Saccharomyces cerevisiae S288C: one gene and its partner. The gene in region 1 interacts genetically with each later gene. Each region holds a gene or a part of one and is shown in the gene's direction. Other genes may lie near its edges. The genes, in order: ALK1 and RAS1.

Region 1 (4,350 bases):
TTTTCGGTTTGATTCAGATTGTCGCCTTCGGTGACTTCGTGAAGGGCCAAATCAGCACAGCTAAGTTTAAAGTCATCATGATGGTTTCTCTGTTTTTGATCTTGGTCCTTGGTGTGGTCGGACTTTCTGCCTTGACCTATATGGGGTTGATTGCCCCTTGGACTGGTAGATTTTATTCGTTATGGGATACCAACTACGCAAAGATCCACATTCCTATCATTGCCTCCGTTTCCGAACATCAACCCGTTTCGTGGCCCGCTTTCTTCTTTGATACCCACTTTTTGATCTGGCTATTCCCCGCCGGTGTATTCCTACTATTCCTCGACTTGAAAGACGAGCACGTTTTTGTCATCGCTTACTCCGTTCTGTGTTCGTACTTTGCCGGTGTTATGGTTAGATTGATGTTGACTTTGACACCAGTCATCTGTGTGTCCGCCGCCGTCGCATTGTCCAAGATATTTGACATCTACCTGGATTTCAAGACAAGTGACCGCAAATACGCCATCAAACCTGCGGCACTACTGGCCAAATTGATTGTTTCCGGATCATTCATCTTTTATTTGTATCTTTTCGTCTTCCATTCTACTTGGGTAACAAGAACTGCATACTCTTCTCCTTCTGTTGTTTTGCCATCACAAACCCCAGATGGTAAATTGGCGTTGATCGACGACTTCAGGGAAGCGTACTATTGGTTAAGAATGAACTCTGATGAGGACAGTAAGGTTGCAGCGTGGTGGGATTACGGTTACCAAATTGGTGGCATGGCAGACAGAACCACTTTAGTCGATAACAACACGTGGAACAATACTCACATCGCCATCGTTGGTAAAGCCATGGCTTCCCCTGAAGAGAAATCTTACGAAATTCTAAAAGAGCATGATGTCGATTATGTCTTGGTCATCTTTGGTGGTCTAATTGGGTTTGGTGGTGATGACATCAACAAATTCTTGTGGATGATCAGAATTAGCGAGGGAATCTGGCCAGAAGAGATAAAAGAGCGTGATTTCTATACCGCAGAGGGAGAATACAGAGTAGATGCAAGGGCTTCTGAGACCATGAGGAACTCGCTACTTTACAAGATGTCCTACAAAGATTTCCCACAATTATTCAATGGTGGCCAAGCCACTGACAGAGTGCGTCAACAAATGATCACACCATTAGACGTCCCACCATTAGACTACTTCGACGAAGTTTTTACTTCCGAAAACTGGATGGTTAGAATATATCAATTGAAGAAGGATGATGCCCAAGGTAGAACTTTGAGGGACGTTGGTGAGTTAACCAGGTCTTCTACGAAAACCAGAAGGTCCATAAAGAGACCTGAATTAGGCTTGAGAGTCTAAATTGGCCACACATTAAAGGAAATGACTAAGATAAAATATACATATATAAAAAGATAAACAAATAAGTATAAGTTTGGTTTCCCTTCCCGTTATTATGATCGCTCGTGACGGATCGTCTTTGCCCTTTTTGGTAAAACGTAAACAAAATAACAATAGAAAAAATAACAACTTTATCAATGTTTATTTTTATTTATTAAGTATTTGATGTGAAGTAGTTTTTCTAAATGCTACTTCATTTTGACATTGTAATTCAATTACTATCAAGTCATACCCTTAAATCGCACCAAGTAGAGCCCCCCATGGATTTTGAAACGTCGTTCGAAGAATTTGTCGAAGATAAACGATTCATTGCTCTAGAGGTATCTGATAATGATGACGATTGTGACACTGATTTGACTGCTGACACAGCTGACGAGCTGGAAAGCTCTGCTATCTTAAAGATGAGGGAGTCTGATGCATCTTTAAATGTTACCACCGGCAATAATACATCAAGGAAAACGACTTCCAATTCCAAAAAACGATGGTCTCTATTATCCAATCATTCTGCTGTTTCATCATCTAAATCTAAGAAAAGATGGTCTGTACTTTCTTCAAGCTTTACCAGTGAATCTCATAAGGACAGGGAATCGAGGAACGTTTTGCAACAAAAAAGAAAATCCTTGCAGAGTTATTCAAGCTTAGATACGGTAGCATCTAATAGCTCTATCTCTGCTTCTTCTTCTTTGAAAAGATCGTCCACTGGTCTTTCCCTCAGACAATTGTTTACCAAGATAGGCATAAACGATGATATATCACAACCTGGGATCGGGATTCCGCAAGGTAAGGAAAATCTGCCTCCAACTATGGGCAAAAAAAATTCATCAATTGCTTCCACTAGTTCGGAAAACAGACTTAGGACACCATTGAAGCCGCTTGTTAATCATTCTAAAAGGCCCACTTCACAACCACAACAGCAACAACCACTATATAATGCATCATTGTCCTCGAGAAGATCGTCGATTTCTTCCACTGTCTCTTCTTCCAGCTCGTCTAAATGGAGATTCTGGAAGAGAAATAAGAACCAGACACCTGCATTGTTGCAACCAGACCACCATTCTTTAAAAACCTTTCCTGCAGTAAACCGTCGTGATTCCATGACGCCCGTTGAACCAAGAAATATGGTAAAACATAAGACATCCTTTTCAGATTTCCATAAGACTATCTTCAGTTCAAATACGTATTCTGAAAGCAGCGATACAATATCTTCCATGGAAATTACTTTGAAAAACAAAGCTTCTTCCTCAAGTCTATCTTTGAACGTGTTGAAGAAAAGGAATTCGCAATCAAGTTTGAAGCACAAAAGTTCACATGCATCCTTACAAAAATTCAAAAGAAACAAAGGAAAGTCCTCCATGATAGCACCATCGACAGCAACTAATAGCAGCAATGATGACTCTTGTAGCTACAGTTCCAAAAATTCTACGTTGAGTCACCGAATATCGTTACCTGTACCGGACCAAGTTTCCCGTGATAAAATTCAGAACAAATTAAGATATTCGACCTCATTACTCTCATTAAATTCTAAATCATCTTTACCGATGAACAAAAATGATCATGATGAGACACTTCTAAGACAGATTTTACTAAATTGTGATATAAAGAGAATTTTAAACCCCGCAAAAGGAGATGTATTGCCTTTAATCAACGATGTAAACCATTTGTCATCAATACAATTAACATCAAATGTTTGGCAAATTGGTGAAGTAATCTGTAAAAAAGTTTCTCTCGGTACTATTGATGACATTACATGGGATAGAAAGTTCTTATCTTTGCAGGAACTGGAAAAACTCAAAATCATGCAACAAAAATTTGATGGCATACCGCAACTATTGAAAAGTTTTGTTGTTAAAGAGGCAAATGGGGGGTTGTATTTGTACTTACTATTCAAAGATCACGGTACCCCAATTTCGTTAATCTCACTGAAAAACTGGAAGCAGATTCTAAAGATTTTTTGGTCTTGTGCTGGTATAATTCATGGGTTGGAAAAAAATTTGAAATTTGAACATCGTAATCTTACTTTGGATAATATTTTGATAGATGGTAATGGGAATATAACAATTATTGATTTTAAATGCAGTAGATTGCAAACTCCTCAAGATGATGTTTTATATCTACGGCTAGATCATCCACTCTTTTTTCTAAATGGGAAAGACAAGAGTAAAATAAACGAATACCAGTATCAATTTGAGTTTGAAATCTATCAAAGTATGCGGATCTTGTTGAACATGGACGCGTCAGCTTTTGAGCCCATGACAAATTTGTATTGGTTATATTACCTGTCACGCGTTTTACTAAAGTTTGGTGACAGGAAGCTTGGTAAGAATGATGCAAACAGGGATAAAATGGCAAGGGTGATAAACCATTTGGAAATGAACTTGGCAGTTCATAAAAGAGGGGGGCAGTTATTCAAAAGATTGGAGACGGAGGACATTAAGAATACTGGAGATTTACTAAAACTTTATAAATAAAACAAATAGGAATGTTGACATTTATATTTCATTTTCTTTCTATTGTATACTCCAATACATAAACATATTATATATACGTACATAATGTAATAACACTAATCTAAAATAATGGCATCGTCGACAGCATCCAAGGCTTTCTCCTCTTGAGTCTCCACAGATGCAGGTGCTTCCATTTTGGGAGTCAAAAACAATTGCTTAACGATAAATTCCACGCCGTTGATGACATTCATCAATGCCCAAACCCAGATTCCCAAAGAGACACTCTGTAAAGCCATATCATCAAACTTGGAAGCACCAAATTTGCCCTCCATTATATGCCATTTCTGAGAAATAGTCCTTAGAGGATGCAAGAGAACATATAACCAGCCTTGAGACCAAACACCACTTACAAACGTAGGGAACAAGGTGCTAGTCGAGGAACTCAACTTGTAAACTGGTGTCTTGCCGTACATAATCTTAAACACAAAAAATGGCACCGTCAATGCCAATAACCTGAGTTT
Region 2 (3,562 bases), on another chromosome or scaffold:
TATATTTACTCCATTGCGTTACAAATATGAACGCTTCGACAACAACGCCAAGGAAACCGGGATAACCCAACTGATATTTTCTACCATACACTGAACGAAATTGCAGAACCAAAAAATAACAAAAAGTTCCCAAAAGGAATGCCAGAAAAAAATGGGAGGCAGGTCCACCTAACAAAAATTTAATCATATGCCATACTTCTTGAACAGTGAATGAGTCATCTCCACACCTAAAAATGTGGCCGCATTGGCTGGGAAAGATCTTAGTAAAGCAGGACCTAAACCAGGGAAAAATCCCTTGATACCACCTCTTTGTAGATAAATTTCCTTTGTGGCGGAAAGCATATTCTGCCTCGTGGAGGAAGCCTGCAATTTTGTCTTTATAGTGTCTATGGGGAAAACAGCTAGCCACATCGACATACCAGCAATACCACCAGCAAGACACACGTTCAAGATATTGACCGGTTCATCTTTGCCCGCATCTTGACGAGGTTGCCTACTATTCAAGTAATTTTTTGAAATTTCATAAGATGCAAAATATAGAGCTGAGCCAGGCCCATCTCTTGCTAAAGTGGCTAATGAACCTTTAAATAAAGAAGCTATGCCACCTTCTTTAACAATGGTTTTAGCCGCCTGAATGAAAGAGCCCTTAGAAGATGTTTGCAGGACAACCTTTACTCTTTCCGTTGGCGCAGTCACTAAAGTGGTAGGAATAGCGCTGATAAATCCTGCTGCAGCCATTTGTCCCATAGTTAACTCGTTACTGCCTCCTTGCTTGTTATTAAAAGTAACCAGTTTCTTACCCACATCGTAACCCCAGAAAGAAACAGCGAATATGGGAGTAACACCTAATAAGGGCGGGATAACACCTTTATAGAACCCCTTTACGGAATTGGTAAATAATGTGCCCTTTACTTGAGTTTTTGCTTCTTTTATAATATTTGTAATGGCATGTACCGTGGAATTCGCTTGTCCATTTTGACATCTCACTTTAATCAAATCGAAGGGATGACCCGTAAACACCGCACATACCCCGCCAACTCCACCGGCCACAAATGATTTGATATTTTCGCGTACAGGGTTTGATTTTATAGGTGGACGAGACTTGGTCAAGCTCCCACTCTCTTCTTTCAATAATGAAGATTCTGATAATGAAGTGTCTGAAGACATTACTGACACGATGACGTTTGTGGAGGATAAGAAAGTCGTACAATACGTAGAATCCAAGGAAAACCTGGAATAAAAACACACATAGAGCGCAATTGAATATCGGCTATTTCTACAGTACAAGCGTCTGCCTATATATGCGCTTGAAATATATCTATTTCGACTAAAGGAATTATACCATCATGCATCTTTACTCTTAAATCTCCATTTGTCCACCGACTTATTGCGGCAAGTGGAGATCCAGTCACGCCGGATGACTGGGTGTAGATAAATAGCCGCCCAACTGATCCCTGCATAAAGCTTATATGCGGATATTAGGAGCAGTAACCCGATGACATTAAGCGTGTAGCCACAAGGAACTTCACCATTACTCATAGCAGAAAAAGCAGTGACCAAAAAATGGCAGGAATGACTCTTTTCTGTTTCCCCTCATATACACTGAAACATCTCGATATAAAGCATGCCCTTTATTGTACCATCAATGCAATGTAACGGCAAACGAGGCTAGGAATATGTATTACCCGCACTGAATTGCTTCTTCACTTAGCACACCCTTGATCGCTATGTTCTACGCTGCTACCCGTTCGGTAGGGAGTGGCGGGGAAATTCACATTGGCACAATGTAAACCCGTAGGAAAAAAAAAAAGCACGAAGAAAAAAAAAGAAACCAAAAATATTTACTACATGTAAGTCTATGGACATTTGACAACAAACTTTTTCAACTCATCGCAAGATTATGAATTTTTCACGGCTTTTCAGGTTTTTTCCTCCTTTTGTTTTACATTGAAAGGTTTATATTTTATGTCTTTGTATGGTTCTCTTAATTTGGATTCTTTCTTGTACGGTGTCTCTATTATCATCTGTCTTGTTCTTTCTTGCAATGCTTAATTAACTGCTGCCACAATTGACTTCGGTTTGGCTATTTCACGATTGAACAGGTAAACAAAATTTTCCCTTTTTAGAACGACATGCAGGGAAATAAATCAACTATAAGAGAGTATAAGATAGTAGTTGTCGGTGGAGGTGGCGTTGGTAAATCTGCTTTAACAATTCAATTCATTCAATCATACTTTGTGGACGAATATGACCCTACTATCGAAGATTCTTACAGAAAACAAGTTGTCATCGATGACAAAGTATCCATTTTGGACATTCTAGATACTGCTGGACAAGAAGAGTATTCTGCGATGAGAGAACAGTACATGAGGACTGGGGAAGGTTTCCTACTGGTCTATTCCGTCACCTCTAGAAATTCCTTTGATGAGTTACTGTCTTATTATCAGCAAATTCAAAGAGTAAAAGATTCTGACTACATTCCTGTAGTCGTGGTAGGTAACAAATTGGACCTTGAAAATGAAAGACAAGTCTCTTATGAAGACGGGTTACGCCTGGCCAAGCAGTTGAATGCACCCTTTCTAGAAACGTCTGCGAAACAAGCCATCAACGTAGACGAGGCCTTTTATAGCCTTATTCGTTTGGTAAGGGACGACGGTGGGAAATACAATAGCATGAATCGTCAACTGGATAATACGAATGAAATAAGAGATTCGGAGCTAACCTCATCTGCAACAGCGGATAGAGAAAAAAAGAACAACGGGTCTTATGTACTCGATAATTCTTTGACCAATGCTGGCACTGGCTCCAGTTCAAAGTCAGCCGTTAACCATAACGGTGAAACTACTAAACGAACTGATGAAAAGAATTACGTTAATCAAAACAATAACAATGAAGGAAATACCAAGTACTCCAGTAACGGCAACGGAAATCGAAGTGATATTAGTCGTGGTAATCAAAATAATGCCTTAAATTCGAGAAGTAAACAGTCTGCTGAGCCACAAAAAAATTCAAGCGCCAACGCTAGAAAAGAATCTAGTGGTGGTTGTTGTATAATTTGTTGAAAATGATCCTGCTCTCTTGATATGACATGGTTTTGATTGCAAGTCTATTCTTACTTGTTCAATTGGTTTCACCAGCATCTTTTTGTATCCATTTTCCTATGCTGTGTATCTAGTAAAAGAGTTGCTTGCCACCAAACATTAATACTAATGGTTAATCTGCCACCTTTTGTAAGCTTTCTATAATGTACAATTGTAATATGTTCTTTTATTCTCGTACAAAGTATATATACTATACACATACAAGCATGCATGCAAGCACGCCGGCAAACCCTTCCTCAATTTATAAAATGTAAACAAACGAAATGTAAAATCAAACTAGCAACAATAAACTCGGCAAAAGCTCTGTTTTTAGAAATGCCTGGAAAACTATTACACAATTGTAACCGCAAACTCATCAATAGGACGAATTGTCCCACACAAATAATGAATCCCGCTAAAAACGCATTGAATGGAAAATTATCACGGATCAAGATAATGAATGTACACTGGATCACCCCTAA

What was found.
Region 2: of ALK1 (region 1) and RAS1, changing one suppresses a phenotype caused by changing the other (phenotypic suppression), as found in Saccharomyces cerevisiae (one study listed by BioGRID).

The regions. Positions count from the first base shown.
Region 1 is NC_001139.9:453,218-457,567, forward strand, and holds ALK1 (protein kinase ALK1), read left to right. Parts: upstream 1-1,567; coding exon 1,568-3,850; downstream 3,851-4,350. Other genes in the region: dolichyl-diphosphooligosaccharide--protein glycosyltransferase subunit STT3, read left to right, coding at 1-1,343; GET complex subunit GET1, read right to left, coding at 3,946-4,350. UniProt on the Saccharomyces cerevisiae protein: Serine/threonine haspin-like protein kinase involved in cell cycle regulation.
Region 2 is NC_001147.6:513,112-516,673, forward strand, and holds RAS1 (Ras family GTPase RAS1), read left to right. Parts: upstream 1-2,132; coding exon 2,133-3,062; downstream 3,063-3,562. Other genes in the region: CRC1 (carnitine:acyl carnitine antiporter), read right to left, coding at 184-1,167; OST2 (dolichyl-diphosphooligosaccharide-protein glycotransferase), read right to left, coding at 3,338-3,562. UniProt on the Saccharomyces cerevisiae protein: The S.cerevisiae Ras proteins modulate the activity of the adenylate cyclase catalytic subunit and therefore affect the biosynthesis of cyclic-AMP.